Linked DNA regions of Struthio camelus. The protein of the gene in region 4 interacts with the protein of the main gene of each other region in a pairwise test. Links are inferred from orthologs where the notes say so. Each region holds a gene or a part of one and is shown on either strand. Other genes may lie near its edges. The genes, in order: SHKBP1, RHOBTB2, ZMAT4 and CUL3.

Region 1 (7,739 bases), on a different chromosome or scaffold from region 4:
GAGTCCAGCGAGCAGGAGACGCCGCGCCACGATGGCAAGGCGGGCGGGTGAGACGGGGCCGGCCGGCGCGGGGGCGGCTCCGGCCGGGATGGGTGCAAAGTCCAGCTGGGATGGATGCAGGGTGCGGCCGGGATGGGTGCAGGGTCCAACCAGGATGGGCACCAGGTCTGGCCAGGATAGGTGCAAAGTCCAGCTGGGATGGATGCACGGTCCAACCAGGATGGGCACCAGGTCTGGCCAGGATAGGTGCCAAGTCCAGCTGGGATGGATGCACGGTCCAACCAGGATGGGCACCAGGTCTGGCCAGGATAGGTGCTAGCTGGGATGGATGCAGGGTCCGACCAGGATGGGCACCAGGTCTGGCCAGGGTAGGTGCCAAGTCCAGCTGGAATGGATGCAGGATGCAGCTGGGGTGGGTGCAAGATCCAGCCAGGGTGGGTGCAAGGTCCGACCAGGATGGGCACTGGGTCTGGCTGGGATGGGGGCCAAGTCCAGCTGAGATGGATGCAGGGTGCAGCCGGGATGGGCACCAGGTTTGGCCAGGATAGGTGCAAGGTCTGACCGGGATGGGCACCAGGTCCAGCCAGGATTGATGCAGCGTGCAGGTGGGTCTGTCTAGGATGGGTGCAGTGTCCACCCAGGATCAGTGCGAGGTCCGGCCAGGATGGGTGCAGGGTCCAACTGGGATGGGCACTGGGTCTGGCTGGGATGGGGGCCAAGTCCAGCTGGGACGAGTGCAGGGTCCTGCAGGGACGGGAGCCCTGAGGGTTCGCCCTGACGCCCGCCTCTGCCGACAGCAAGGCCACGCTGGCCGACATCGTGGAGCAGCTGCAGGAGAAGGAGTCGTCCGGCCCCGTCCCGGCGCCGGCCCTGGTGAGTCCCCGCGTCCCCTCCGAGGTGGGCGCCGCGGCGGGGTTTGCCCCCGTCTCCGGCTGGGAGAGCCGGAGCTCGCCCCGACGGCGCGTTCGGCCCCCTCCAGCCCCGGGAGCGGGAATCCCCCGGCCGCCTGCCCAACGGCATCGACATGCTGCCGGAGAGGATGCCGCGTCCCGACCGGCCCCGCGCCCGCGACCGGCCCAAGCCCCGGCGGCGGCCGCGGCCCAAGGACGCCAGCCAGGCGCCGGGGGAGGCGCGGCGGTCGCGGTCGGCCCCGGCGCAGAGCAGCGCCCCGCCGCCGCCGCCCCCCACCCACACGGTGCAGCACGAGGGCTTCCTCTTCCGCAAGCACGAGCTCGACGGGCCCAACAAGAAGGCGTCCAACAGGTGAGCGGGGGGCACCCGGCCCGCGGGGGGCCGAACGACACCGGGTGCACCCCGGCTCAGGGTGGGGGGAGGTGTCCATGCAGCACTGGGTTCACCAGGGCCTGGGGGGGTCTGTGTGATGGAGAGGGTGCACCAGGGCTCAGGGGTCTGTGCAACCGAGAGGGCGCGTTTGGGTTCGGGGGTGTCCGTGCAAGGGAGCGGGTGCACGAGGTCTGGGGGGTCCATGCAGTGGTGAGGGCACGTTTGGGTTCGGGGGTGTCCGTGCAAGGGAGCGGGTGCACGAGGTCTGGGGGGTCCATGCAGTGGTGAGGGCACGTTTGGGTTTGGGGGTGTCCGTGCAAGGGAGAGGCTGCATGAGGTCCTGGGGGCTCTTGCAAGGGAGAGGGGGTGCACCAGGGCTCGGGGTCTGTGCAAGGGAGAGGGTGCACTGGGGTCCGGAGGAGTCTGGGCAAGGAAGAGGACGCACCTGGCACGCAAGGGTGAGCACGCAGCAGAGCTCGGGGTGGTCCCCACGAGGCAGAGGGTGCGCCGGGGCTCGGAGGTCTGTGCAAGGGTGAGGGTGCGCTCGGGTTTGGAGGGGTCCGCATGACGGCGAGGGCTCGGGGGGTCGGCGCACCGGGCGGGCGCGCACCCGGTGCCGGCAGCCCCCGCCGTCGATCCGGCAGGTCCTGGGTGAACCTCTACTGCGTGCTGAGCAAGGGCGACCTGGGCTTCTACAAGGACGCCAAGGGGCCAGCGTCGGGCAGCACGCACGGCGGCGAGCCCCTGCTCAACCTGCACAACGCCACCAGCGAGGTGGCCAGCGACTACAAGAAGAAGAAGAACGTCTTCAAGCTGAGGTGCGCCGGGGCGGCCGGGGCGGGTGCCGCGGGGCCGCCACCGCCGCTGCTGCCACTGATGCTCAGCTCCTTCTTGCAGGACTGGTGACGGCAGCGAGTTCCTGCTGCAGGCCAAGGACGAGGTACGGCGGGGCCGGGACTGGGGCTGGGGCTGGGGTCAGGGTCGGGCGGCCGTGCCGGGTTCGGGCGGCCGTGCCAGGTTCGGGCACTGTGCCGGGTTCGGGCGGCCGTGCCGGGGCTGACGGCCGTGCCGGGCACCCGCAGGACGACATGCGGAGCTGGCTGAAGGCGCTCGCCACCTGCGCGCAGGAGCACGCCGACATCGCCCGCTGGGGCCAGGCCCTGCTCACCACCTCCTCCACCGACGAGGGCATCCCGCGCCGGGAGGGCGACCGCCGCGCCAGCACCTCGGCCCGGCGGAAGTGACCCCCGCAGCCCCCCCCACCGGCCGTGCAGGGGGGGCCCAGCTCGGCTGTGCCCTCCCCAATCCTCCCCGCCGGGGGATGGAGTGGGTCCTGCATGGGGCAGGGAGCCCCCCGCGCCCCCCGGCCCCGCTGCGGGCCCCGAGGGGGCCGGGCCGGGGTGCCCGGTGGGGTTTGGGGAGGGGGGTCCGGTGCAGCCCCCCCCCCGGCCTCTCTCCCCCCACCCGCCGGGCTCGGCCTCCCCCCTTCCCCTCCGGCGTTGCCATGCACAAGCCATAGAGCCACTGCAGCGCGGCCGCGGTCGCCCCGAGGTCCCCTCGGCACGGGGATCCCCTCGGCTCAGGGATCCCCCGGCTCAGGGATCCCCCTGGCTCAGGGATCCCCCTGGCATGGGAATTCCTCCAGCTCAGGGATCCCCTTGGCACAGGGATCCCCCAGCTCAGGGATCCCCCCAGCATGGGGATCCCCTCGGCACAGGGATCTCTCCGGCACAGGGATCCCCCCAGCATGGGGATCCCTGCAGCATAGGGATCCTCTCAGCTCAGGGATCGCCCCAGCTCAGGGATCCCCCCGGCTCAGAGATCCCCTCGCAGAGGAATCCCCTCGGCACAGGGATCCCCCAGCTCAGGGATCCCCCCTCCTCAGGGATCCCCTCAGCACAGAGATCCCCCTCAGCACAGGGATCCCCTTGGCTTGGGGATCCCCCCAGCTTGGGGGTCCCACCTGGCACAGGGATCCCCTTGGCTCGGGGATCCCCCCAGCTCGGGGGTTCCACCCGGCACAGGGATCCCCTTGGGCACTGGGGGTGGTTTGGCACTGGGGTCCCTGCCTGCCCCCCGGGGTCCCGTCGTGGTGCCCGGGCCTGTGGTGAGGGCCCCCCCGCCTGCCCCGGTGCCCCCCACCGCCCGGGGCTGGCTCCTGCCCGCCCCCCCCCCACACACCTCGCTGCCCCGGCCCCAGAAACCGTGCTGCTGGGATGGAGTTTCTATTTGTAAAGATTTTAACAAAAACCAGGAAAATAACCAAAAAAAAAAAGCCTCACCCCCCCCGCCCCGCCCCGAGCACGTGCCCCCCGGGCCCCCCACACCCCCCGGGCCTCCGGGCTGGCGCCGGGGGCGAGCGCCGCGCTGTCACTGTATAAATGTAATAAACCCCCTCGCTGCACCCCACGGCACCCCCGCGCCCCCCCAATAAAGGAGCAGGACGGGCCCGACCCGCCACCCCGGTGCCGTGTGGGGGGAGGCTGGGGCTGGAGGGGAACCTGGGGGTCCTGGGGGGGTCCTGGGGTCCTGGGGGGGTCCATTGGGATGGGGGGACCTAAGGGACCGCGACCATGGATGGGTCCATGGGGCTGGAGGAGCCCATGGGGAGGTCCAGAGAGATTGGAGGGGGGTTCATGGGGGTCCATGGGGCTGGGAAGGGTCATGGAGAGGTCCATGGGAGGGTCCATGGGGCTGGGGAGGGTCATGAGGGGTCCATGGGGGCGTCCATGGGGCTGGGGGAGCCCAAAGGGGGGGCTAGGAGTCCCATTGGGGGGTCTATGGGGCTGGGGAGAGTCATGGGGGGGGTCCATGAGGGGTCCATGGGGCTGGGGGAGCCCAAGGGGGGGGTAGTTGGGGGGTCCATTGGGGGGGTCAATGGGCTGGGAGGCTCCTGGGGTGCCGAATAGCTCTGAGGGATGGGGGTGACTGTGCTGCACCCCTGGACCCCCCCCCCCCAAAACGGGTGCCCCACCAGCACTGTTTCCCCTCCCTCCCATGTCCTCGCCCCTTTAAAAAGGGGCGGAGTTGGGAAAAGAAAACCCCACCCTCCCGCCATGACTGGTATCGCATTCAGCCAATGGGCGTGCAGGTGTGGCCCTGATAGTCATAGGGTGGGGGGCGGGCGCTCGATCCCGCGTGGCCAATGGGGAGGTGAGGGGGCCTACAGACGTTCACAGGAGGGGGTGCTCGGCCGCGATTAGCCAATGCCCGGGCAGGAATGAGGAGGGGGCGGGCTCACAGCTCCACGTGGCCAATAGCGACTGGGGACGAGGAGGGGAGGTGAGAAGGGGCGGGCCGGCGCCTGGGTGGAGGGGTGGGAGGGGGCGAGGCCAATCGCCGCGCGGAGGGTCGGGCGGGCTGTTCGGGCGGGCCAATGGCGGGGCGAGCGGGGCGGGCCCGCGGCGCGGCGCGGCCAATGCGGGGCGCGGGGCGGAAGCGGGCGGAAGCGGCGCCGTGGGGCGGCGGGCGGCCATGGCGGCGCCGGGCGGGGCGGCGCGGCCCGGCGGGGAGGTCGTGCAGCTCAACGTGGGCGGCAAGAGGCGCGTGCGCGCGGCGCCGGGGCCCCCCCCGGTTCCCCCCTCCCGGTTCCCCCCTCCCGGTCCCCTCCGGATCCCCCCTTGTCCCTTCCCCGAGTCCCCCAGGCCTCTCTGACACCCCCCGGGTCCCCCCCGGTCCTCCTAGGCCTCCCTGCCCCCCTCGGGCCTACGCCCCCCCCGGCCCTCTCAGCCCTCCCCGAACCCCCTCAGGCCCCCTCGAACCCCTCCCAGACCCCCCCCAGATCTCCCGGCCCACCCGGCTCTCCCGTATCCCCCCGACCCCTCTCAGGGAGAGCCCGGCCCCCCGCTCCGGGTCTCCCAGGGCTCCCCCCCCAATCTCCCAGACCCCCTCCCCAGACTTTCCTGGGGCAACCTGGCCCCCCTGGGATCCCCCAGGACCCCCCCAGCCCTTCCTAGAGCCCTTCGGGGTAGTATGAGCCCCCACCCAAGTCCTCCCCCCCCTCAGTCTTCCAGCCCCCTTCCCCGACCACTCCAGGGTCTCCCCTGCTCCCTTGGTCTCCCCAAACTGCTCCAAGCCCCCCAAGGCCTTCCCAGGTCTCTCCAGACCCACCCAGGGCCTTCCCTGGTGCAGCCCAAGTTCCTTGGGTTCCCTGGGACACCCCTCAGGTCTCCCCTGACCCCTCAGGACCCCGCTGGGTCTCCCTGGCCCCCCCCAAGTCCCTCCCGCACCTCCCCAGGTGCCCTTGGTCTCCCTGGGCCTCCCCAGTTCCCCCTGGGCCACCCTTGGCTTAACCCAGACTCTCTGGGTCTCCCCCACTGCCCAGGACCCCGTCAGGCTTCCCTGGGTCTCCCCAAACCCCCCAGACCTCTCTATTCTTTTCAGTGCCCCCCCGGGGTCTTTCTGGTCACTCTGACCTGCACCCTTGCCCACAGGTTCAGCACATCTCGGCAGACGCTGACCTGGATCTCAGACTCGTTCTTCTCCAGGTGATGCGGATGGACCCCCCTGTCCCTCTGTCAGCTCAAACTCCCCCGAGGACACCGGATCATTAGCATCAGGGTGGTGCTGGGGCTCACAGAGCCGCGCAGCTCAGCTATGCGGCAGGGCCTGGACCAGCAGCTTGGAAATCTGCTCTGCAGAGTGTGTTAGGGAGGCTGGAAACTCCCTGGACACTTTTTTTGGTGGTAGTTAGCCCCATCTCATTAACTAACATTCCCCCTTTGGCCCTGGAGGCAAGGGAATGGAGGTGCCCGTGGGTCAGCGTTAGGAGAAGGGCACAGAGGAGTTTTGGCTTTTCCCATCACGTGTCACCCACGCAGCACGGTCCAGACACGGGTGTGTGTGTTCAGTCCCAGCGCGTGCTAGCCAGTTGCTCCCTGGAGCAGACCTGCAGCTCTCAGGTGGGTGCTGATCCCAGTCAACGGGTTCAGTTGGTTCCTGGCTGCCCGGAGACAAAGTTTTCTGGCTCAAGTGGTGGAAGAAAGTTACCCGCTTGGAGCAAGTGCTCGTGACTGCTGCTCTCCTAGCCTCTTCCTCTCCTGGGGTGCTCCTGCTCCCCTGCTGCTGGGCGCAGCTGTAAACGGCTGTAATAAGTCAGGTCCTGCTGTCTCTTTCTCCAGGGACTGAGCTTTCCAGAGCACTTGTGGCTGGTCTGATGCGTTGCCTTAGGGTTTTGCTTGGGTAAAGCCACCCCGGGGTGAGCTGAGAGTAGCCTCCTACCTGTGCTAGGGCCAGGGCTCACAGACACAAGGACAGGAGATGTTTTCTGGCATGTCTCCAGTCCCCTGCAGGTGCTGTTAGAGGCTCTGAGAGGTCCACTAAGCCTGCCAGCGCCTGCACACGCTGCCATTTTCTCGGCTTGGGGATGGGAATTACGTGCTGGTTGAGGGAAGCCCATGTCCCCCAGCCGCAAAGAGGTGAAGAACCCTCCCTCTGGGTCTGATGAGAGCAGTTGTTGCAGCAGGGACTGTCCTTGTGCGGGGCCGTGCAGTGCCCTGCCTTCGCGCAGCACCGGGCACTGCAGGGCCCGCAGCACAGCTGGAGCCCGGAGGAGCGGCTGAGCTCTGCACACAAACTTTCTGTCCCCTCTGTTCAACCCACAGCCTCCTGAGCGGGCGCATCTCCACCCTGAAGGATGAGACAGGAGCGGTGAGTTCTCCGTTCGCCTGCCGTTGCCAGATCCCTGGCAGTTGGGGTCAGGTCAAATCCGCAGCGAGATGTAGCAAGCCCTGCCCTGGGTGGGGGTCCTGGTGCCAGGGAGAGCCCAGTGGTGCCTAGCTCCTGGGGATCAGCATGCCCCAGGGGGGCCTGCCAGGTTACAGCAGGAGTTTTCCCTTGGTGACCTGCTCTCTTCCTCCCAGATCTTCATCGACCGGGACCCCACTGTCTTTGCCCCGATTCTCAACTTCCTGCGGACCAAGGAGCTCGACCCCCGGGGCGTCAGCATCTCGCTGCTGCTGCACGAGGCAGAGTTTTATGGCATCACCCCGCTAGGTGATAGCTCTTGGTGGGGTTCTCTGCTGACATGTGGAGAGTGTCTGGGCCGGGGGGCAGCTCCCTGTGGTGGGGAGCTCTGTGCAGGGAGAGGGGCCAAGGGGCAGGGGCTCACGGCTCTCTCTCTACTCTGCCACCAGTTCGACGCCTGCAGCTGCGGGAGGAGTTGGATCGGTCGTCCTGCGGGAGCGTCCTGTTCAACGGGTACCTGCCGCCCCCAGGTAGGGCTGAGCTGTGTGTGGAGAGGGGAAATAGCATGTGCCAACCCAACAGGGTCATGGCTCACCAGGAGCCCCCAAGGAAGGGGTTGGCAGGGGTGGCTGGCCCCTCTCAGTGGGGTTCCTAGGGAAAGGGTTCATCGGAGGCCTCAGCAGCACCCTGTCGCTGCCCACAGTGTTCCCAGCCAAGCGGCGCAACCGCCACAGCGTCGCGGGGCCCCAGATCGCCGCTCGCCTGCAGAG
Region 2 (7,993 bases), on a different chromosome or scaffold from region 4:
TTTCTGATGGCTTTTACATGGCAACTGGCAAAGGAAACAAAAAACCACATCCTGCCTCCCCGCTCACGCTGCTGCGCCTCCAGCCGTAACCTCACCGCGTGGCTCTGAGCTCCCCCACTCGCTGGCTATTCCCCAGTTTCCCTCCTTGCATGGCTCACAATTCCACTTCCAACTTCAAGTGCTATTTAGCATGGACCACAAGCTCATCTTCATCTTGAGCAAGCCAACCCACAGGACAAGAGTGCTTTGAATTAAAAGCATTTGGCCATAAATCCACACTAACTGGCAAGGCTAGCACTCCTCAGGCAATTTTAAGGCTCTGGGAAGAGTTAGACAGACGAAGGAGGCACAACTGCGCTGTTTGGCTTGGGAGCTGCCTGGCTTTCCTGGATGGACCTGTCTGCTGCCACACAAGGTCCAGGGGTTATCGCAGAGTTGGGTTGTCACTGCTGTGAGAGCCACTACAGAAATCAAAAATAGCCCTTGGCCAAGAGTTGAAGTTCAGTGTTTGCAAAATCTAGACCTCAAAGTGTGTTATCAAGAGCTTAGTTTTGTACCAATCGGCACTTTCAATGCCCCATTGATAAGGAGTCTTCTCCTCTGAAGAGTCAGAAGAGAGGCACATTAAAAAGCGCTTCAGTTACAGAACAGGAGTATTTGATAGCACCAGAAAGCATCTCGCTAACAGAAATGAGGTCAGCTAGTCCCTATCCAGAGGCAGCATGAGCCCTTTCATGTTTTACTGCAATAAGATGAAGCTGAACCTGCTCAGGGGGAGCCAGATTATACTGCTAGCTCCAACGCAAGTGCAGAGAGTTCATTAGCTGAACCTATATTTGGGTCTTTGCAACGTTTGTCAGCTGCTTAGGCAAGATGCAGAGCAATCTGCTCACATACATCCCCCAAAAAACCCAAGCACCCCCTAAACAGACACCTATGAGGCTGGATCACCCTCCGCATAAAGCACTTACTGACAGGGGCTGCCAGGGCAGCGCTTGGTGCGTGCCTGCGAAATGCCGTGGGCAGCTCCTGCGGAGCAGATCCGCGGCAGGAGCAGGCAGCCAGCCTCGGAGATTAACAGAAAGGATTTCTGTTTTCCTTTTTTTACCAGCCAAAGCCTGAAGCCTGAACTCTCACTGCTGTCTGCCCCATTTTCCAGCAGGCAGCTGGGTTCGGTCTCGCTGGATTAAGTGCGGCCACGAACAGCAGCAAAGTCCCAAACGACCACAGGGGAAGGTACGGCCAGAGCCACTAAAGGGGTTTTTGAGCTCTGGCACCCGTCTCCTCCTCCAATCCCTCTGCACTGCCCTCTAAACCTGCCGCCAGAGCAAACGGAGCAGGAGTCGTCATAAGACCACGGAGGGGACAGATGATGCTTTTAGCTCTTTGAAGTTGCTAAGGCTTTGCCAGGCTTCAGGAAGGCTCCTGCCTCTGATCCCGTCAGGATTTAAGCTCCAGATGCCAGCAAGCAAGCCCGGTGCCCAGCTGCTGGAGGCGAGGCAGGGAGGCGTTATCAGCAGCCAGCACTCGGGGAGCTCAGGCACGTCACCCTGGGGAGACGCTGGCTCCAGCGGCCCCCTGCAGCCGGCAGGCTCGGGCGATGCAGCGCAGCCCGAGCGCCAGCCTGCAGCCCCGGGCGCTGCTTCACGGCAGAGAGGCCGCTGGGCACGGTGCCTTTCCCAGGCCCCTCTCCCATAGCCGGGCATCACGCCCAGCAATACAGGAGCCCTCAGGAGGAGGAGGAATATTCAATATTTGCAAGGCAGTAAACACATAGCTGGGTGCAGTCCCCGACGCTGGCAGCAGCCCACAGAGCCGCCCCTGCGTTGCATCGCGGTGCACGGAGAGCGCTCCCGCGAGCCTATCCCCTTTGCAAAGCTGCAGCACCGCTTGGTAGCGCAGTACAAGCGAGGAGCGTGTTTTACCCCCAGGCAGCACTTAACGCAACCCTGAGCCCAGCCCAGCTCCTTCGGCACCAGCGCTTGTCTTCGCACGAGACAAGCCAGCTCCCTCGCTACGGTTTTGCACGCAAGCAGCGCTGCCGCCAGCCCCGCACCCCGGCGCAGCACGCGGCCGCTCGCCCCATCCACAAACTCCTCTCCGGGAGCTGGCCGGCACGTTTTGGGGAGGGCGACACGACCGCTCCAGCACGCACAGCGGGTCCCGGAGCGAGGCTTACGGGAGGTGACCTTGGAGTCGGGAGCGGCGCCGGGTCCCTCGGCGGCCGTTACGTAAAGGCACCTGCCGGAGCCCCCGGCCGCGGCAGGCGCCTTGTGACTGCTCCCGCCGGGGGACGGTCTTCTATTTTGGGAATAATGTTTTCATTCGACCTATATTAAGAGCGTTCGTTTTGCAGTCACAAGGCAGGCGCAGAGCCGCGCAGGAGCCCCGCTCCCCCCGGCGCCAGCAGCTCTGCAGCTTGGCGCAGCTTTCGGATGGCAGCGGCGCTGGCGAGCGCGCAGCTGAGCCGAGCCGAGCCGCCTGCCAAGGCGCTACCCAGCCACTTCCACACTCGCTCGGGCACGAGGGGGCCAGCTCCTCCTTCCCGGGCAGGCTTAAACGCTGCAGGCATTAAGGATCCTTCCCGGGGCCCAGAGGCAGGGAAAGGCGCTTGGCATCGCTCGTTAGAGCGGCGCAACGGCCCCGGCTGCTGCCCCGAGACACGACGGTGGCGCTGAGATGACAGCAAAGGGGTACTGAGATTACAGCCGGTTAGTGACCGCTGCCGAGAAGGAAGGGAGGAGGGAAAAACACCTCCACACACACATACACCCATTACTGGTCCCTGACATGTCCCCAGGCAGGGCTGGATGCCACCGTGGGAAAGCCCTGAGGCTGCCAGGTGATGAGGAGGAGCTGGGGGGTGAGGAAGGCCACATCCTCGCGCTGACTCAGGCAAGGCTGAGCCCAGCCACATGCCTGGCCCTGCCAGGGCTCGGGGGGCCACCGCAACCCCTGCTCCCCACCAGAGCAGGGCAGGGAGCAAACAGGAATTTAGGCTGGCTGAGTGGGGACATCTGAACAGCGCCGTATCAGATTCAGCCCTGGTGTTAGAGCCTGCAGATGGGGCGGGGGGGAGGCAAGACAGATAAGCTGGCCCAAACCTGGAGCGTAGATGCACTTGCACCAGATTAGGTGCTCTGGTAATTGAGGCAATGGTTAAACTGGCTTAGCCCTTCCTTAAATGGGTTTAACTGGTGTGCAGCAGGGGGTCATACAGGTTTAATGAGCTCAGGGAGTCCTGGGAAGCCCCCACCAGGGCACTCCAGACCTCCCCAGAGCCAGTCGGGGGCATCCATCCTGGGCTGCTCAGCCTGGCCTCACCAGCAGCACGTGGGTCCCCAGCACCCAAAGACCCCAGCACCCCTTCCCCCTCGGCACAGGGCCCTGACAGCTCTTTGCAAGCTGCATCACAGGCTGAGCCTGGACCCCTGGCACCCACCACCCTCCTTGCCCAGGGCCTGCAGTTACCCCCACAGCATGGACCAGGCACACAGCACCCTCAGCCCTGCAGCGAGACCCCAGGAAGCCAGCTGCAAAACAAGAGGGGGCAGCTTGCATTAGCAAGGACCAGCCCCCAGCCAGGCAGCCCCTTGCCGCTGGGTCAGGAGCTAGCGGTGCAGCACAGAGCCCAGCATTTTGCAGGTTGCTCAGAGATGCACAGAGCTGGCAGCCACCAGCCAACATCGCTCTGGGCAGGGAGCGGCCTCCCTTGCACCCTGACCCAGCAAAACAGGGTCCTTCTCTGCACACACCACAGAGCCAAGCTGAAACCTCCCATCGCTCCCCTTTCCTGCTTAGCTCCACTGGGGCCTGAGCAAAGCACGCTGCCACCCGTGGGAACATACCGCACTCATGACTAAGCACCAGCCACACACACCAGCACAGAGGCACAACAGCATCCCAATTAGGAGGTGAGGCAACAGCTGCACTAGCAGAAAACACCATGCATGCGATGAGCAGCACGTGCCTCCTTGGTGCCTGTAAAAGCAGTACCTGCATGCAGCACTCCTCCACATAAAGCACTTCAGTCCCCTCCAGCAAAGCAGCCCAAACCACACTGGCCCAGGCCCCTGGGGCCACCGCCTGTCTCCTATTAATCCCACGGCCGCCCGCTCCTCCTTAGCCCATTAGCACCCTCCTTTCCCACTGACTCACCGCAGGCCCACGGAGTCATCTCCTCTCCTTCGCCGAGGCCCGCCGTCGTTTCCCCGGCCGGCGGTTCCCATTGACTCACCCCGGCTCCTCGGGGTCCTCCTCCCCTTTCCATTCCCCGCCGGCTGGTCACCTCCATCCCTCCCGGCCCTCGCTCCTCCTCTGCGCCCGGCTCGCCTGGCAGGTAACGCGGGAGCCGCAGGAGCAGCCCCTTGAGGGGTGGGCAGGCCTCCAAACCGTGCCGCCAGGCTTTGGCAGGAGGGCCGCTGTCAAGCCCAGAGGCTGCGGTGAGAGTCGCTCCTTTTGGAGTAAAGCTTTCCACTTTGTTTCTTATCCTGGGTGGTCCCTTCTGCTGCGGTTTCTTCCACAAGCTGCAGGAGAAATAGCATTTATGTGCAGAATTTAAATCTTACTGAACGGCTTTAACATATACTTTCACACTTCCTTTCCATCCAACTATCCATGTGCGCTTTCTCCAGCTGTAAAATGGGAATTATTCAAGAGTGTTTAAAGATCTACTAATAAAATGAGTCTAAAAGAGGTGGCATCGTTGCAGAAGCGTAGCGCAATGCGTTTTGCGTCCCCCCGCTCCGCTTTTTGCCCCCGCGGGCCGGGGAGCGGAGGGCGCAGGCCCGGGGAGCGCGCCGCCGGCACGCGCACAGCCCGGCTCGGTTGCTCCGAGTGGAAAATTCCTTTCTGCTGAGTCCGGATTGTGGTTCAACAGGTTTTAGTCCCGGCCCCTTGACTTGTGTCAGTGCAAAAACTCATCCCTAGGGCATTTGTTTGGATCACATGGGCAAACGTATAAAAACAGATCCTACCTTTCCAGGCTAGTCGCCACCTGGAGCAACCGCGAGCGCCCGTCCCTGGCGCCCGGGACGCCGGAGAGCAGCGGGAAGGTGCAGCCCAGGGGCTCGGCCGCGAGTCCCCCCCGGCCCAGGTAACCTTTGCAGCCCCCAGCGCAGCCCCTTGGGTGCAGGCGGCGCCCTCGGCCCCTGTTTGCTGCCCCCTTGCCGCCCTCGAGGGCCGGGGCAACGGGCGCATCGGGGTAAAACGCGCTTTAACGTAGGCCCTGCAGCTGGAGGGGGCAGAGCGAAGAGGCGTTCCCGCGTGCGGGAAAGCAGGCGGCTCCCGGGGGGGGGGGGAAGACCCAAATGGCCCGAGAAACGCTAGGCTTTCCGCAAGGGGATGAAGCCAGCGAGTGCATCGAAGAAATTCAGATGCCGCCCACGGTTTCTGCAGCTTTTTTCGGACGGCGATCGCTTGGGCGCAGCGCCCCGCGGTCGGGAGGCGTCCGCCTTCCCACCGAGCGGCAGAGCCGCCTGCAAGTCGGGGCCCGGAAAGCTGCAGGGACCGGGTTGGAGCGAGCCTCCTGGGGGCACCGGCGCCCCACAGGAGCTTTTTAGCAGCGGGGCTCCCTATCTCGCCCCAGTTGTCCCCCCTCCTGTGGTCTCCATCCCTCCTGGAGACAGTTGCTTGGAAACAGCTTCTTGGCTCCTGGATGTGTAGTTATTTTCCGAACGCGGCGCCGTGCGGGCTCCGGGGCCCCGGCCCGGCTAGCTGGGCTTCGGCCGCCTCGCCGCCTGCTTTTGCCCCGCTCTCCCCCAGCAAGAGAGCCAGGAGCGGAGGCGAAGGCAGAAGCCAGAGGATGCGCTCTTATTAGGGGAGCTTGCCCCAAATAGCAGCTTGGCACGGTTTCTCGCGAGGCGTCCGCAGCCCCGCACGCGCGCGGAGCCGGGGCTGGGGGCGGCCGGCCACGCGCCGGGACTGCCGCCGGCCGCGTCGCTAAACCCGACGGGTCCCCGTATCAGGTGGCAGCGGTGCAGCCCTGGGAGAGGGATGCGTGCGTGCAGCCGGGTCACACCACGTGTGCGAGCGGTGCAGGGAACTGCCAGGGAGCCCCCGGCCCGGCGGAGCCCCCCCCAGCCTCCTCTCCCTGAGACGGGTCCTGCTGCATTGCGGGACAGAGGAGGAATGGTGGAGAAACGCTCCTTTCACGAGCTCCCCGGCGCCCGCAGCGAAGCGGGAGGCTGTCGGCGCGAGCCGGAGCCGGGCTGCCGCGCGAAGGGAAGCACGTCGGTGCGCGCGTATGCTTGCACGTGTCCCCTCCTGGACCGCTTTGGGTGTCGCCGGTGGGGGCACGGGGAGAACAGAGCCGGCAGTAAGGCGTAAGGACAGGCAGGGCAGTGCCGGCAGAGCCCCCTGCGGCCCCCCAGCCCGCCCAGGCCACGGCGCGGCGCTTCCCTGCCCCGAGGCTTCCTGCGCTCCGGGGCCTCGAGGGCTCGAGGGGCCGGCGCCTGGAGGAAGCCAGCCCCGGTTCGGGACCCTCGCACGGAGCCCTTCCGTCCTCTCCTTTCAGAACCTGCTACGGGAAAGAGATGGAAACCCCAGAGAAAGGTCGCCGCGGCGTGAAGATGGCAGCAATGGCGCGCAGCCTGTAAGTACCCGGCTCGGGGGGCGCCCGGCCCCTCCGGCGCGGTCGCGTCCCGCGCTCAGGCGGTTTTCGCCGGGCGCTTTCTCCCGGCCCCTTTGCTCTTTGACGCCCCGTTTAACCCCGAGCAGAGCGACGCATCCGCTCTGCAGCCAGGCCAATCCCGGGATTGGCAGGGCGGACGCGGCGGCTGCCTCGGCCGCCTCCAGCCTTGCCTCGAGCTGGGGGAAACCGTCCGGCGGTGCCGGCGCGCAGGCGGTGGGACGGGCCTCCGGCTGCCGAACCCGGCCGCGTGCTCTGCAGCCGGCGAAGACGGGGCTCGCGGTCCTCGCCGCGCCTCCGGCCCCGCTGCTCCTTGGGGCGGTGGGAAGCGGCAGGCGCTTTGCTCCTGCCTCGCCAGCCGGCCGGTGCCCCCCGCCGCAGCGGCCGCTCGCGGCGTCGGGGCCGCGCGCCCCCTGCCCGCCGCAGCCCCCGGCCGCCCCGCTCTCCTCCCCGCGGGGGACCCGAGCAGCTGCAGGCTCGTCCCTGCTTCCGCTGCGCAGGAGCCCGGGCGCTTTCACCGAAAGTCACAATTGTGCTTTTGTTTGGCACAAAAGCGGGGGAGATGGGGGGGGGGGGGGTCATTCGGGAATTCGGCTGACCATGAAGCTGCCAGGAACTTTTTATGCCACAATCAAACACCTGCTACGACAGAGCAAATAAGCCAAATCATGCGGCTGGCAAACCAGCTCGGCGTGTTCCTTCCCCGTGACCCACTCGAGCTGCAGCTCGGCGGCTCGCAGCCTCTGCTCCAGCCCCACGCAGGGAAACAAATAGCGTTGGCGCGAACGCCGGCAGCTCCCTCGCCGGCTCGCGGTCCCCGCCGGCGCCGCGGAGCAGCCCGTGCCCGGCCGCAGGGCCCCCCCTCCCCAGCCCCGGCTGAGCGGCTCCGTCTCCCGCTGCGGAGAGAGATGGCCGTCCTGCGGGTGAGGTGAGGCTGGGCTGGGCCGAGGGGGCCGCGGCCGGCGGGCAGCGGCCGGGCTGGAGGCCCCGCCGTGGGCCGCCGGCGCCCGCGGGCTGCCAGGCGCGAGGGGAGGCGAGCGGCCAGGGTTTTGCAGCGGGCCGACGCCGCGGCGCATCAGCGCCGGCCCCGCGAGCCCGGCCGAGCGAGCGCCGCGGGAGCGGGGGGCCGAGCTTAGCCCGGGCAGGCGCAGGCGACGGCGGGCAAGGAGCCGGCGGAAGCCTTGCGGGAGGGCGGCCAGGCATCACATGATGCGGATACGCGGGGTCAGGGCCGCGGGGCCGGCGGCGAGCCGGCCGCCCTGCGAAGATGACTCGGAGTTTTCAGGCTCCGAGTGGGCGCGGGAAAGGGGGGATGCCAGGAGCCCTGCGGGGTCTGCGCTCCCCCAGCCCCACGGCACGGGGCCG
Region 3 (7,766 bases), on a different chromosome or scaffold from region 4:
TGCTGCCAGGCTCTCTGGGAGACCTTGGAGAGTGTTTGGGACTCTGCAGCCCCAGGGAAAGGAAAGGTTCCTTGTCTCTCCATTGTAACAGCGCTCAGCTCGGCGTGCCAGCTTTCTGCTGGCCAGCTGGGACCGAGCGGTGGGGAGCCATAAAGCCTGTTCTTCCATGGTTTATTTAAGGACTTTTGGTCGTATTCTGCAGTTCATTTCTTTGCCGAGGATGTAGAGTTCCGTATCTGGACCGGCTTGATGCTTCCCCAAATGCATGTGTTGGGGATCACAGGGTGGTCTGACCCAGCTGAGCCTGCTGCACAGCAGTATGTGCGAGGCAACCAGTGCCTCCGAAGCTGCCAGCCGGGCACTGGCACAGGGAGGGATGGGGATTTGCCTGTCAGAGAGCCCAGGAGACTGCGGGAGCCACAGGAGGCATTTTTTCAGCAAGCGCGCCTGGGTGCAAGGGACTTTCCCGTCCTTTTGTGGTGGTTCCTGGGGCCTTGAGAGACTGATGCCCAAACTCGCAGAGGGAAGGAGCAATATGGGAAAAATCACTCTGCTGCTTAGGTCCTTATGCTCCATAATAGACAGGAATGAGTTTGCTAGGAGTTGAGATCATGCACCTTGAAAAAACTTTAAAAATTTATTAACTTGTAAGTTATTTTTAACATTTCTTGTGCTGATGCTGCTATTACAAGGGAGCACGTGATGTTCCTGGGAGTTATGTAATCCTAAAGAAAGTGAGGAAGAACTTTAAGAAATATCTGTTCCTTGGATGGTAGCTGTGTCACTGTAAATATTGTCTGATCTGCCCTTCTTAGCAATGGAGTATCTGACGCTCCAGGTGGCAGCTCTAAGGAGCTCGTGTCAACTTTGGAGGCTTAGACGCTTGGCTTAAATGCTCTTTAATAGATTTGTAAAGCTAAAGAACCAGGCAGGATCATGGAGCATCACAGCTCAAATAGTTTGTAAAAAGTCCTGTCAAGCAGATTAAGCTGGAAATGGAAAAATTGCTGGCGAAGTCTTTCCCCTTCTTTCTAATGTTTTTGGGATAGAGGGTGATTTAAAGTCCATTTCACCACTAGGTGAGTGTTTCAGATACCTGGTAGCAAAAGTGCAGCAGTGTGGCTCAGGCAGCTACTCTGCACTGGCAAAATCCCTGGGACTGTCAGCAGAGCACATTTAATAGAAACAAATCAAACTAAATAGACTCATTTCTTAAAGGTACTCCAAGCACACCACCTTATTATGACCATCAGTCATAGCTCAGCCGCAAGCACCTGGCAGATCTCATGCCCAGTCCACCAGCCAGGATTTTGCTGTTACTGTTATGTATGCAACATAGGCTTTCCAGTTAGATATATCACTTAAGATATGACGTTTTTATCAGGCTCTGGCAAGGGTGATAGTTAGATGGGAGAGCTCTTCCATGAGAAATGGAGGAGGCCTGTAATCACTTTGATCAGCCAAGCATCGGGGAAGGGAATGCAGCATGCTCTGTTTTACAGGGCTTTGGAAGCGAGGGAGTAAAGTCTCTCCACATCTCCACATGGAAGATGAATATCCCTCCAAGGTGCAACCTTTTGTTGCTTTGCACAGCAAAGATCTTCTGGAGAGCTCCCCTCCCGTGCAGAAGACCCAGCACCCTCGTCCCTACCGTGACATGTGCTATGGGAACAGAGGCCCGCAGAGCCACTTAACTGTGTCTTCAGGCTGTATGTATATATGTCACAGGCTGGAAATGTCACTTCCCAAGCCTTGGAGCAGAACCTCTCTCCACTCCGTGTATGGTTCCCCCCCCTCCCCCCTTGTTTGAACCCTTTTCTTACTTAACCTTCTAGTTCTAAGGAATTACCCCACCACAAGCAATGATGCCACATCATCAGGGTCATCCAGCTCTTCACCTATGGCTGTTTTCCCTTTCTCCTTTCTGTGCCTGAGGTATTTTTGGCCTTTTTGATACGGTGACAGATTTTGATGGGCCGCGGTTGCCTCGTGTGACAGGGCCTGATGCTGGTACAGCAGCAGTTGTGTGCAGTGTGAGGTGCTGGTTTGCACTGCTTCGAGTGTGCTGGGGGCAACCTGTCTGAATGCTTCTGCTATCTTGCAAGCAGCACAGAGCGACTGAAACCTGTGTTTCGTCCACCTGTAGCTTGTCCCAGAGGACATTTCTAAGCCCTTGTGTTATTAAACATGTAGAAATGCTGACCAGACTCTGTTCATGGGGATGAGGGATGCATTTGGAGGTCTTCACCTCTCTCTTCCAAGATTCCCTGAAAGTTCCTGTCATTAGTTCTTATTTTTGTTGCTGCCTTGTCATGTCGAAACATCTTTGACTCCAGAGTACCAGGCAGGATGCTGGCTGGAGACGGACCCCCAGAGGAGTCGGACTACACTGGAAAGAGGTGCGGAAGCGAGCGAACTCGGGCGCTGTGCGGCCGTGCGCCGCCAGCCCTGCAGGAGGGGACGGGGAGGGCAGCGCTTGCGCTGGCGGCAGCAGCCCGCCGGTTTGACCCAACAGAGCAGCCTTGTGCGAGCTCGTTCCTCCAGCACTGCACGGCTCCTCCGGTCCCTGCGTCCTTGCAGCAAGGCGGGTTAGCAAGGGTCTGTCCTGTTGTAATGCGTTACTTTGTCTAGCTGTGCTAGCAAAAAAGGGGTTGTTTTCCTCAAGACATTTCATGTAGAAATGATGGTGCTCTCTGAACATCACTGTAATAATAACATCATAGTGAATTTGAAGAGATCTGATGTCAAATACACATCAAAATAGCAGCAGATTTTTGCTATTTGTAAGTGTGTTTTCTAAATCTCCAAAGTAATTGGCCTGTGGGACACAAAAGGAGTTTCTGTGCCATCTGCTCGGAAGCAGGCATTTGGGAGGACTATCCGCTGCTCTCCCGGCTGAGTTGCTGGGCTGGGGCAGGGCTCGCGTGGGCACTGCGGGGGATGGCGACCTCTGCGCCCTGCTTTCACGTCTGCGCTCACAATGGGTTTGCCTCGAGGATTTTGCTCCCCTTGGCTTCTCCCGTGTGTCGGGTGCTTATTTAACACCTGGGGCCTCCGACCCAGGTCCGTATTTTGGCCGGTGATGGGCGATGGCGGCTCCTTCGTCTCCCTGGGTCCCGCGGCCGACGCAGAACCACCGCGCCGGGAGGAGGAATCGCCCCGTCCAGGTGCGGACGGCTTGGCCGTCCTTACTTATTTATTCTTATTTCCATTCTAGAGCCTTTGCTGAGGAAGTATTTACCCCGAGGTGTGTGAACATCGCACAGAAACGGTGCGCGGGCAGTCCTCGTCCGGCAGCAGCGTTCTCGATTGCGCCGTGCAAAGCTGCCGGCTCCCCCCGGGGCGCGGGGAGCACCCGGCCCCGCGCGGGCGCGCAGGGAGGCAGCGGCGCGCCCCCGGCGGCCCGGCCCGGCCCGGCTCCCTGCCTGCGCGGGGCGCGGGGCTCCCGCCGTGCCGAGGGCTGGGCGCCCGCGGGGCCGGACGCTGCCCAAGCGTGAGGCTGCGAGTGAATTCCTTCGCCCTGGAGCCTCTGATATCCTTCGCAGTCTCTGCCTTGCAAATCAGACTCGCACGTCCTTACGTTCTCCCAATAAGGAAAATCCCTCTCCGCTGCTTTGCTTTAGCCTGTGCTGCGTGAAGCCGGGCAGCTCTGCCTTTCCCTGGCCTGCCCCGGGCCGTGGAAGCGGGTTCTCTGGACGCTCTTGACGGTAGTAGGAGCTGGACCGGAGGGCGGCTGCCGGGGCCAGCGCAGCCTTGCAGAGCGCCGCGGAGCCAATCGCAGCTGCTAGGGGTGGAGCTGGAGCTCGGGCAGATCATCGCCGAGCGCCTTTCCAGCACAGTTGGTCTGGACTGCCGAAAGATCTGCTCGCGGGGAGGGGAAAGCTGCAACTGCAGCCCCGGCGCGCTCCTGCCCCAGCAGCATCGCCAGCGGCTCCCTCGGCCTCCGCGCAATACCCAGGTACCGCCCGCGCCCCTCCTCGCTCCTGCCCTGCTCGGTGCTGGGGTCTGCGCTGGTTAGAGTTTGCAGAAAGTTTATTGGGAAATCAGAGCTGTTTAACGAGGGGGTGCCCGCGGGAAGGCGGCGGGAGGGGATCTGCAAGGCGTCCGGGGCCCGGCGCCGGGTGCTGCAGGTGGGTTGCTGGGGAGCCGGCTGGTTCCCCAGCGCCAGCGCTGCTGCCGGAGGAGAGCTCTGCGCCCGGCCGGGGCCGGGCAGCGGGGAGCCCTGCCCGGTGCCCGCGCTGGCCGCGCTCCCCTTGGACCCGCGGCGGGGGGCCGGAGGCGGTCTGAGCGTGTTGCAGGAGCGATCCAGACCCGTCCCAGGCTTTGCGATGTTTCCCCCTTGGTGTTTTTATCGAATGCTGCATTTCACCTGTTAGCAGGTGGCTCGAAGCTGAGCAGGCCCGTCAACGCGGGCTCCTCCTGAGAAGGAGATCCCGTGTTGGATGGAGACTCGGGGATGCTTTCGCTGAACTGACTTTACGCAGGTTTTCCCACAATCCAGCTCGGGAGAGCGAGGTCCTAGGGCTGCCGCATGCAAGAACAAATATCTGTAGAGGCAGGAAAACAAGCTTATTTCCGCTATTGTTTGTAAAGTTTGGAGAACTTTCCAAGCCAGCACCGCTCGGAGCGACGGCGCCTTTGCACAGAGGCAGTCGTTGGCGGGGGCTGGAGCGAAGCCGCCGCTGCCGCAGCGGAGGGGAGAGCAGCTGCCAGCCTGTGCCGGCCGCCCGGCGCCGGCGGAGGGCTCGGTCTGCGCCTCTCCGCGGGGCTGCCGCCGGCACGTGTTGCACGGAATCGCCTGCCGGTCTGACAGCCTAAACAAAAGGCAGACCCTTATGCGGTAGGAGCTGGGTGACAGCTGCTTTGGGCTGCGTGACAGATCTCCGACTGACTCATGAGAAGTCTGAATTGCTGGCGATCCGTCTCCGTTGATTAGAAATGCCGGACCTGAGCAGTGCCCAGTCAGTCCCCGAGCTAGACAAGCTCCTGTCCCTGCCCTTCAGGCAGACACATGCTCTTTTTGCCCTCCTCTGATGTTGGAGCGACCTCAGCGTGCGGCGCTGGGTGAAGAACAAGCTTTGCAAAGCCTTGAGGAGCCGGTTAAAAATCACCAGTTTGCATATTCTGCCTGAGACCGTGCTGTTGGCTCTCGCATGAGCACGTGCTGTCCATCTGCAAACACAAACAACCAGCCTGAAATGCAAAAGGTGAGCCCGGAGGGAGCCGCGGGGATGCAGCCGGGGCGCGAGCTGCTCGGCCAGGGGGAGGCTGGCCAGACGGGCTCCAGCTCTGGGGCGCTCGCTGTGGCACAGGAGATGGGCAGTGACCTGAAGGATCTCCTGCTGCTTTTCCTTGTGCTGTGCCGTGGGGTGGGAGCAGCAGTGACTTGATAAACAATTTTAAAAGAGATGCTTTGATAAAGGATCCTAGACAGTGACTCATCTACCGTAGGAAGGGACTGGAAGGAGGGGCAGAGAGGAGCTTTTTAGGGTAAAAATGGGTCTTTCCCTCTCTTTATCAGAAATAGTGAGGGTACAAATCCTTCATTACTCCTGGAGTGGTATAGATCTGTTGATCGGAAACCTCCTAATCTGTGTCCCCTGCAACCTGTTCCAAGTGCTGTCTGCATCCCTCTCCCTGGGGAGAATCCTGCCTTCTGATCACATCCCTGGCTGGGACTTTGTTCTGAAGTTTGTTTGTTTTTTTTTTGGCTTGGGTTTCCCCCACCCCCAGCCCTTGATTTTATCTGATCATTCTTAGTCACTTCTGAGTCACCCTAAATAATTAATCTTTGTCCCTATGTAGCTGTTTGCTTTGCATTTCTGCATGCACCTGGCAGACCTGTGTGTGCACATTTCAGAAGCCACTTTGCTTCGCCCCATCTGTATTGCTTTGTTTTAACTTTCTTCCAGAATCTCCCCCCCTCCCCCCAACACCCCCAGCCGTTTCTGCACTATCGCAGTGCTGGAGTCACGGAAAGCCCAGAAGTGCTCAGCGGCTGCATCTCCACCTTCTCAGGTGTGCTGTAGAGCACATGCATCTCCAAAGGGCTTCCCTAGCTATTCACTGCATTGCTGACTAACCTCCCCTTGAAAAGGCATTAAGTTGCCTGTGTACAGAGATGCTTTGCAGGTATTTGCTGTGATCTGGTTTAATCTGCTGTTTCCAGTTTACAATGGAATTGGTGCAGCCAGCTGGTCTCTGCTGATTTAGCACCTTATTCCTAGTGAACAGCCCTGCTTCCTCTCCCTGGCTGTTTTTATAGCACTGTGTTATGCTAAGTAATTCCTCCTCCTCATGCCTAGAGAATTACCTGGGAACATTCCTGGCCAGACCTTTCCTCTGTGCCAGCAACTGAGCTGTGGTCCAGCTATGAACTTATCATCCCTCCATGCAGGCGTTTTGCTGTTGAGCCCCCTCCTCCCAAATCCACCACCAAAAAAAAAAAAAAACCCACTCCAAAACTTTAGTGATGAAATATATACAATAATAATAGTGGCTTGTGTTTTTTGAAAATTATTCCTTTGCAAGAAGTGACTTTTGACAAACAGTCTGCATCTTTTTCAGACCTATTAGTTTCTAATCAGAGCCATCTTTATTGCAAGGTATTTTTAAAGTCAGAAATCCTCCAAGAGGGTTGAATACGTCAACATAAAGTGACCTGAAGTCACTGCAGAGGTTTGAGATGGCAGAAGCTGGGAAAGGCCAGGACTTCCGGGTGCTGTTCCTGGCGGTGATTGCTCTAGGTCACTTAGACTCAGACTGTCAAATCTGGGTGTCTTGCTTTCCTTGGGAGCTTAACCCAGATAAAGAGGTGTGACTTGAAATCCGGAACTGTTTTGATAGATCAGAACTGGGCCATGGTTGTTCCCAAGGGTGGATTTGGGTACGGAGGCAGGAACTACTAAGTTTCAAGGTTCTCATCTCCCTCTGTTGCATGGACACCTTCCTCTTCTGAGCACAGTTTTCTTCCTGACAGCCCCCGACAGGTAGCAGAACGTACAGAGGTTTCGTTGTTGCTCCCCAAGCGTGGAAAGCACCCCTTGCTGCGAGGTGCAGCAGTGCCAGCACAGAAGGGGCTGCCCTCAGGAAAGCAGCAGTTAAAGGCGAGGAGGGGAAGGCTTTCCGCCGTGCCGTGCCATCTCCTCCACGATGAGCAGCACTTACTGTATTTGCATCCTCTAAAGGACGGTTCAGCAGAGCCAGGCTTTGCTGTAGCAGTTTTGCAGCTGTGACCTTCAGGCAGCTCATGGGTGGGACTGGAGAGACGCTGGCTCAGTGGGGTGTCGCAGCTTGGCCCCTTCATTTCATTTTCTCTGTAGTTTCTCAGGCACTTGGGCCCCCGGCTGAGCACTGATGCTGCAGCTCGCTGGGCGTGAGGGGCTGCAAGGCAGTGGCACTCGCTGTCCCCTCTCGTCCCGTGAAGGCTGTGCCCCAGCTGGCCGCCCCAGCCTTGCTGGGCTGGCGGAGGTGGGAGCCAGACAGCGGCGGCGGCAGCTCGTGAGACACCTGTGCCGCCGTGGGCTGCCGAAAGCTCCTCGTGCCCCGACCAGGACGCAGCACGCAGCGGAGACAAACACCCAGAGGGCTTCCTGCTCCTTTCTGAGTGTGCTTGGGCAATTTGGTAAACTAGGTGCTTAACTCTAGGTAGGCAGAGTGAGTGAAAGTTGAGAGGAATTAAGTGCACACTTCTCTGGGCCATGGCTCTTGGGGGATTGTGAGTAGGAAGCAAATGGGTTTTATTTGGTTGCTGTGCAGATAATGAG
Region 4 (7,943 bases):
CCTGCCTGTTTTCCTTCTGTGCACCTCAGGCTGCGCGCTCCGCAAGTAAAAACCCTACCTGGCCCTACAGGGGGGACTAGACGGGCTCTGCCCCGTGGCTCCAGCACTGCAGTCCTGCGGGCGGTACTGCCGGTAGCGCGGGCACCGGCAGCAGCCTGCCTTGCCCCTCCGCACACCCGCAGCCTGGCGCCCACAGCCTTCCCCGGCACCCCGAGGCCTCTCAGCCACCCCCACGGGGCAAAAATAACAAACAAAAAACAAAAAAAACCAAACCACCACATTGCTTTTTTACAACAAATAATATTTACGTTATTTCTGTTCGTGGAAGAAAAGAAAGCAAATTAAATGAAAAAAATTACAGCGCTACCTGATGTGCTGGTGGCTTTATTGTGTCTAATTATGCCCCTCCCTAAAGTCCTCTGAAGCAGTGATGAAGGCAGATATAAAAAGAAACAAAACCCTTTCTTCATTCAGGACATGCAGGAAAGAAAAGTCTGAAAGTGGATAGAAACTATGCGAAAGAGCGCACCTTGGCGCTGTCCTGCTTCTTTGAAGGGAAGTATAGTAGTGTCCTAATAAATCATGCTTCTGAGTATTTCCCATGTTTTTATAATACCCCACTGACCCCATACCTATTATAATCTATGCACCTTATACACGGAATCAATCCATTGAGATATTATTTTGATTTATAGGGGAAGGACTAAGACAAGGCACTAAATGGGTATTTACCGGATCGTGCTGAGCTTTGTTGGTCTTTACGTGATTTGGAATAAAATTCTGCTTTTGGCAGGACTACCTTTGTCAGAATCCTCAATGCAACGTATTCAAAATCAACCTATGTTTATTCACTGGTTGTTTATTTTGCTGGTACATATCTCTGTGTTGTTACAAAAAATACACATTTTTCCCTCAGTTGTGGAAGTTGTGATGGAAAGAATGATTTGTTTATTGTTTCTCCCAAAACAGTAACATGGGAAAGTGAAGGGACTATCTTATAGATGGGGTTACTGTGTCACATATAATGCATGCAAATTTGAAAGCAACCATCACATGCAAAGTGATGCAGCTTAAAAAAAAATGCCTGCTCCTTTATTCTGCACTTTAAAGGGAGAGAGCTCACTCTTCTTCCCACCCCTGTATGCAAATACTCTTTTGTTTGTCTGTAGGAGGACCTTATAGAGTGAGGTCAAGCCCTGAAATGCTTATCTAGGAGTTTACATTCAAGCGTTTAGGTACTCCTGGGATCAGAATTGGGTCATTCTGTTTCCTGCTGTGACAGAAACCTTTTTTTTCTTTATACTTGTATTTTTCAGTAGTTGTATATCACTGAAGGCGGTGAGTGAATATGTAAGGAAGACCTGAAAATTTAGGTATGTGTGATTCCTTGGAAGTGATGCTTATCTTCAAAATATTGGTTCCTGGCTTCAGCGGAGCATGATCAAGCCTCAACAAGGAAAAAGTCACTGTTTAAGTTTATAAGAACATTTTTCTGTAAGTTAAACAATAACCACATCCAGCTTTTAAAAGCCTGATTATGAAGATGTTAATCAAGATTGAGTCTGATGTAGCATATTGTCTTCACATTGGTCAAATATGTCTGCTGCCCTTCACATGACTAAGGTAAGTGCTAAATCAGATTGTAAAGACAGTGTTTGAACAATTAAAGGTTTGTTGCCACCTTCAAGATAAATATATCAATGAAAAGGGTCATCCTTCTCGTGCTGACAGAAAGGTGATGATATGCCTTTCAGGTGAAAAGGTTCTGTATGGATTACCAAGCACCTGAGCATCTTCAGTATTGCATTTAGTGATATGTTCAGCAAAAAAGGCCTGATGACCTCAGGAAAAAAAAAAAAAAAGTGAATGGCCACTTGGCATACACTGCATATGTTGAGCTTTTCTCTGCACAGTATAATTTGTTCTGGGGGCCTTCATACCTCATGTCTGTATGCTGTTGTGATTGGTGGAAAATATGACTAAGGTTGTTGCAACACACACGATCCTGAACGTTCAAGAAGGGTGACCATTCTTTTTCACAAGAACCGTTACCTCACTGCAGGACTAACTGAAGATATGCAAGATACGCACGTAAAATAGCTGCCATGACCCAGTTAAGCAATAGGGTGGCTAACTCTTCCTATGCTAGTCTGTCCTCCTCCACTCATCTTTCTGGTTTTGACCAGTCTATAATTAATGTTATAAGCACCTAAAGAACCTCTAAAATAGTTCTTTGTGTGAGCTCCAACCTTGTTTTTAGCAAAGCTTCATTTTGTAGATTATGTATGGAAAGAGAAAACTTGCAGTGAAAAGACTGTAGTTGTCTCCACATGGTCTGTCCCAGAACAGACCTCCAGAATGCAGGGAGGAGCTCCTGGTGCAGTTCTGTATAGCAGATATCCCCACCAGGTCGCAAATCTGCATAAGGAGATGTCTCAGGCAGCAGTTTCAGCTTTTAATAATATAAGAACTAGCAATATACGTCTCTTTGTGTGTTAGATCTACAGGCTCACAGCGTGGAATTAAGCTAGCTGGCATGGGTATTGAGGGAAGTGGGTGTGAGAGTAATTTTACTTTTAATTCAGCGTACCATGCTGGGCTGAGCAGCAACTAAGGGTGAGTCAGCACTTTTCAGACCCTCAGATAAAAATGTGTGCTAGTAGCGACTAGGATGAGCAGAAGGCGAGAGACTGATGTTCCAGGGTTGCGGTAAGCATAGGCCAGTATGGGAGGAAGCACAAAAGCAGTAATTAGAAAAGTTTATCTAGAACAATCGGCAGTAATGGATACTTGGAAAGTTCATTAGGATTGTTTTCAGCAATTTTTTCCCTTCTTTTCCTGAATGAAGAAATGCCAGTTCCTCAAAAGCAAACTATTTCTGGGAAAGTTTGGCTTTTTGAAAACAGTATTGTATTTGTTGCATTGCACACTTGCAACATTCTCAAAATGAAAACTATTAGGACAAATTTACTTTTTATTTAAGTGTTGTGATCCGTTTTCACAAGAGTCAAAATGAAAACTTTTCAAGTGACTTGATCTTCACTGTTACAGAAAAAATATTGGAATTTACTGTCATTGAAATACAATATTATCCTCATTTGGCAAAGGAAATACTTAGGAGGAGAAATAATCTGCAAATCATATTGAAACAATACAGAAGCCATGTTCTTCATATTAATAAAGGGCAATCTTTCCCTTCCCATCACATCTTTTCTGTTTCATCTACATTCACTATAATTTTAAGCAGGGCTGGCTGGTATTGCAAAGTCATGTTGCAATCATTGTTTATTGTGCTGCTGTTATATAACATCTTCTCTAGGCGTATACTTAATTCTGATCAGGAGATTAAGAAGAAATCCCGTATACAAACATCTGTAGTCTCAAGGGGAAGTGGTTGTAACAAACTGAGAGACCAAAATGAAGTTACTTCTGCAGAAGGTGGGCCAGCTCCGAGAGGTATGTTACCTCTGAGGGCAAAGGCTGCAAAGTGTAGATGCACCTGCAGGGAAACAGTGATAGAGAAGCAAGTGGAGCTGGATGAAAAATGGACATTGCAAGATGCCCAAGATTCAGAGTCTGGTTTAAGAGTCACCTAAAAGAAATGCTCTTCCTGGTTATGCTGCGTAGATCCTCTGGGGGAACCCGAGCAAGTGATGTTTTGTCCCACATTTCAATTTCATCCACTAACTTTTCAGTTAGTCCCCTAGTGACTAGGACCTAGATTTCTTTTTTTTGGTTGAGCAACGTAACTTCCAGAGGTACTAAGCTGCTGCCGACTTACAAAATCTGACATTTTCAAAACACTCTTCCCTTTTGCAGCAACTGCCCTTTCTTGAATGACCTATATTTAGCACTGTGCTCATGCAAGCGTTGCCTCAGGTGGCAGTCTCATTTCTCAGGCACGTATTGATGAGAAACAAAACATAAATAAAGAGGAGAGAAAACAAATGCCTTGCATCAGGGCATTGTACGAGTCTCCCACGGAGGGCTACGCCTACGGGTGGCATGATTCAGAGGGGCACAGTGGACATCTGGGAGGCCACAGAGGGCTGAGCAGCAGGAAGAGGCACAAAACGTCTGCCTTTCCTCACAGCGCCGTGCGAGCTTCACCGCAGGTGGCCAGAGCAGCGGCGCGGGAGGACAGCCCCTGTGTGTTACCCCGAAAATAAAAACGTCTCGCATCCGGGGACCCCAAGAGGGGGGATAGTAAGGGGGAGGGGGGCATGTTAAAAATAAATAAAAATAAAAAAGGGGGGGGCAGCAGGCGGTGCCAGGCACCGCGCGGCCCACGAGGTGGCCTGCGGCCTCAGCCCGCCGCGCTGAGGGGCAACCGGCCGGCGTCACCGCCTGCTCGCGCGCCGCTCGCCCCTCCCCGCCGCGCGCCGCTCTCCGCCAATCAGCGGCCGCTTTCGCTCCCGCCCTCCTTCCCCCCTCGCCGCCGGCGCCGCCCCCGACAGTGACAGCTCGGAGCGGCTCCGCCCCGCCCGCCGCCGGGAGGCCGGCCGGAAGTCTCGCGAGATTCGGCGCGGCGCCCCCGCCCCTCCGCTCCCTCTCTCCCTCCCTCCTCCTTCCCGCCCCCTTCCCTCCTTCCCTCCCTCCCTCCCTCCCCCCCCCCGGCGGCGCCCCGCCCCGCGGCCTCCTGCCGCCTGCCGCCGCCCCCGCCCCCGCCCCGCCGCCGCGGCCGGATCTGTCTCCTCGCTGCCTCGCTCGCTCGCTGGGTGGTGGTGGCGGTGGGAAGGGAAGCGGAGGAGGGGAGGGGGGGGCGCCCGGCCTTGCGCACTGAGCGATGTTTGTCCGCCATCGCGGCGGAGGAGGAGGAGGCTGAAGGAAGCGCCGCCGCCGGAGCCCGGGGCCTGCGCCGCCGCCGCGCCCCCCCCACCGCCGCCGCCGCCACCTCCCCCACCCCCCCCCCCGGGCCGGCCCGCCGCCCGGCGCGGCGGCCCGCAGTGAAGGTCGCCAGCGGCCTGCCCCGGCCCCGCTCCCGGGGCCCGCCGCCCCGCTCCGCCTGCCCCCGGCGCTGCCGCCGCCGCTGCCTCGCGGGAGGCGCCGCTCCGGCCGGGCCCGAAGATGTCGAACCTGAGCAAGGGGACGGGCAGCCGGAAGGACACCAAGATGCGGATCCGAGCCTTCCCCGTGAGTACCGGCCGCCCGGGCCTAGCCGGGCCGCAGCGCCGCCGCCGCAGGCCCCGCCGCCGCCCGCCCGCAGGCCCCGCGGCCTCGCCGCGCTGCCGGCACCGCCGGGCGCCCTGCGCAGCCGGCCCGGGCCGGGCGCCGACCGAGCTGTCAGCGGGCCGGGCGGCCCCGGGCCCGGCGGGAACCGCGGCGGGAGCGGGGAGCTCACGGGGCTGCCGGCCGCCGCGCGGCCGGGGCAGGCGGCGAGCTGGTGGCCGCGCTAGTGGGCTGCTCGCCAGCCAAGCGAATCGGTCGCGAAAATCCACCCCGGGCTTGCGGGGTGGGGGGGGCCGGTTCCTTTGTTTTGGACGAAAAGGCCTGGAAGAAGGAGTCGGAGGTTGTGTACCTGCATCAAGAACACTGGTGAACCCGGGAAGCAGGGTGTGTGTGTGTGTGTGCTTGTTTATGTCTTCTGCGGAGTTTTCTCTCGGTGAATTTATTTCATTCTCCTCTCTGTGGAAGAGACTACAAGCCTATGATTATAGGATTTAGGTGGCAAAATGCCAGGTGTGCAGAGTGTGTTACTATAAACATCTGGCCATAGGTAACTTCCACGCGTGTTCGGCAGAGCCACCAGCATGCCATCTCCTTGAGTTACGGAGGGGAATGAGCCAGTTTATTAATTTATACTGCCATAAACCTTGCTCTGTTTTGACAGTTGGTGCAATTAAAGCTTACGACAGAATAACAGCTACAGTACTATTAATGGTGTTGAAGGAACGAGGGAAGTAGGAAAGCTGCAGTGTGCCTAAGGATGGCCAGGAAGTGTGTGCGTGTTCATCTATGTATGTGTTAAAAAGAAGATTCTTAGTTGAGTCATTGGCTTTTAAAGCTTAGCATAACTTTTTGATGTTATGCCTGATCCTAAGCGGCAGTGGTATAGAACTAATGTGCCTTGCCTTTATGAAGAAACTGGACATACCTGTTTATGTTATTTCCCTGGCAAGGAATATATCAATATATTTGCTTCATTGAAACTCTTGCTGATGAAATTAGAGAATCCTTTATGTTCTCAACAGCTGGTTCAGCCATAGCAGTCTGAATTGTACTGCTGTCCTCTTAGTCCTTCCTGTACTTTTAAAAGTAATTATTGACTGTTACGTTTAGTGGTAAAAGTTAAAAGAAAAAAATGGGCTAGGAAATGTATGCGTTTTAGCTGATGAAAGGTTTTTGATCTTCACATTATATATTTTTAAACACTCTTTTTTTCAAGAACGTTACTACTGTTAGGATATTTTGGTTTATGGGAATGCAGGGAAAAGGCTTACTGCAACGTGGCCAGGGCTTTACAAATACATAGTAGGAAAACTTGTGCAAAAATTAACCATGAGAAAAGCTATGGTCCATGTTTTATAACGTACTACACCAAAAGATAGCAATTTTTAATTTGATAATCAGATCCTTGTATTATAACTCTGTACATATGTAGATATGGGTCAGCCAACAAAGGCAGGCCTAACAATGGCATAAACTTCGATTTGCGTTTTATTTTTTTGACCGTTCTTGTAAACGAGCATACGAAATTAGGTTGGTGGGTGAAGAATGCTCATACAGAGGCCTGTTCTTACAGAAAGTCAAGCATTGTCATTGTGGTTTTTTTCCTTCTCAAACTGTTTGTGTTAACATTGTTTCTTTTTCCTTTTCAGTTGCTTAAAGAATATTTAGATAAAAAATCTTGAGGGAGGAAAAAAAAAAACAAAAAAACTTCTCTCCCAAATAGCGCAATAAGTATATATAGGCATCAAGGCCTACAGATCTTAAGTATTTGCTGATGTCTATCGACAGCAATTTTTCAGGTGTTCTCTTCGATAGATTTTCTTTTCTGAGGCATATTGTTGACAATCCTGTTGATAAAGCCTTTATAGAAAAGGAGCATGTATTTGGGTGAAAGACTTTGAGGGTTTTATCTTTTATAATTACAGAAGGCTATAATAGTTCATGTAAAATTCTAACACCAATTTTGCAGTCATCTTAATGTTTGTATAGCTTTGGCCCTGTGAATAGGGCCAGTGACTGCAGTGGGATTATTCATGTCAATGAGGTTACATTTGTTTGCAGGATAGAGTCTATATTTAGAATGCAAACTCTTCATACTTCAGTTACTGATCCTCATTCTTTTATCTTAGATTTGTTGGTTCTGCTCTTCAGTTTTGAATTGGGAGCACTACCAGAGACTTCTCGTATGTTACTTCAATTTGTCATCTTGCTGATCATCTCTGCCTGTTTTTGTTTAGTTGCCTTCTTGCACTGGGAGCAGCTCTTGATTAGTATATTAAATTAGAGGTAGCCAAATTGGACAGGTAACATAAAATTGCTATGTTCCAGGAGCCTTATCTACCTCTGTGTAGGTTCATAGGTCATCATGGATCTCACATTTTCTGTTTTTATAATCTTTTTGATATTTTTCTGATATTGTTATCTGTTACAGTAGCAAAAGGAAGAAGAAGTAATATTTTGCAAAATAGTATTACTTTTAATGTTTCCTTTTTCTGCATTATTAGAAGTTGGGTGAGTAGAAATTGCCCAAAACTTTTGACCACAAATGTTGTACCTAGAGATTGTTATGCTTTACGATTAGTTTTGTTCTAGATTCTTTATTGTATGATTTCTTGTCACTGGTGGCAGAATATCCCTCATCAGAAGTGTCCTTTAGCATTTATTAGCTCCTGATATGTACTCTGAGTTGCTCTTTCTTTCCTCAAAGCACAGTGAGTTCTGGGGATTCTATGTTGAAGTGGGTTGTAGAGTAATCAAAAGTAATTGAGGAAAAT

What was found.
Region 1: the proteins of CUL3 (region 4) and SHKBP1 interact in binary tests that used the Homo sapiens proteins (3 or more experiments, as listed by UniProt). The link is inferred for Struthio camelus from reciprocal best matches to the Homo sapiens genes CUL3 and SHKBP1.
Region 2: the proteins of CUL3 (region 4) and RHOBTB2 interact in a two-hybrid assay, tested with the Homo sapiens proteins (2 studies listed by BioGRID). The link is inferred for Struthio camelus from reciprocal best matches to the Homo sapiens genes CUL3 and RHOBTB2.
Region 3: the proteins of CUL3 (region 4) and ZMAT4 interact in binary tests that used the Homo sapiens proteins (3 or more experiments, as listed by UniProt). The two-hybrid records come from large-scale screens. The link is inferred for Struthio camelus from reciprocal best matches to the Homo sapiens genes CUL3 and ZMAT4.

The regions. Positions count from the first base shown.
Region 1 is NC_090957.1:394,850-402,588, reverse strand, and holds the start of SHKBP1 (SH3KBP1-binding protein 1), read left to right. Parts: upstream 1-4,734; 5' UTR 4,735-4,758; coding exon 4,759-4,826; intron 4,827-5,717; coding exon 5,718-5,771; intron 5,772-6,887; coding exon 6,888-6,933; intron 6,934-7,145; coding exon 7,146-7,278; intron 7,279-7,418; coding exon 7,419-7,499; intron 7,500-7,672; coding exon 7,673-7,739. Other genes in the region: SPTBN4 (spectrin beta chain, non-erythrocytic 4), read left to right, coding at 1-47, 798-873, 980-1,263, 1,929-2,102, 2,182-2,224, 2,367-2,528.
Region 2 is NC_090968.1:5,215,668-5,223,660, reverse strand, and holds the start of RHOBTB2 (rho-related BTB domain-containing protein 2), read left to right. Parts: upstream 1-4,987; 5' UTR 4,988-5,095; intron 5,096-6,514; 5' UTR 6,515-6,533; coding exon 6,534-6,592; intron 6,593-7,394; exon of another isoform or gene 7,395-7,536; coding exon of another isoform or gene 7,537-7,556; intron 7,557-7,993. UniProt on the Homo sapiens protein: Regulator of cell proliferation and apoptosis. It likely functions as a substrate-adapter that recruits key substrates, e.g. MSI2, to CUL3-based ubiquitin ligase complexes for degradation. Required for MSI2 ubiquitination and degradation.
Region 3 is NC_090968.1:7,611,468-7,619,233, reverse strand, and holds the start of ZMAT4 (zinc finger matrin-type protein 4), read left to right. Parts: upstream 1-4,761; 5' UTR 4,762-5,153; coding exon 5,154-5,207; intron 5,208-7,766.
Region 4 is NC_090950.1:12,984,681-12,992,623, reverse strand, and holds the start of CUL3 (cullin-3), read left to right. Parts: upstream 1-4,933; 5' UTR 4,934-5,067; coding exon 5,068-5,133; intron 5,134-7,943. UniProt on the Homo sapiens protein: Core component of multiple cullin-RING-based BCR (BTB-CUL3-RBX1) E3 ubiquitin-protein ligase complexes which mediate the ubiquitination and subsequent proteasomal degradation of target proteins.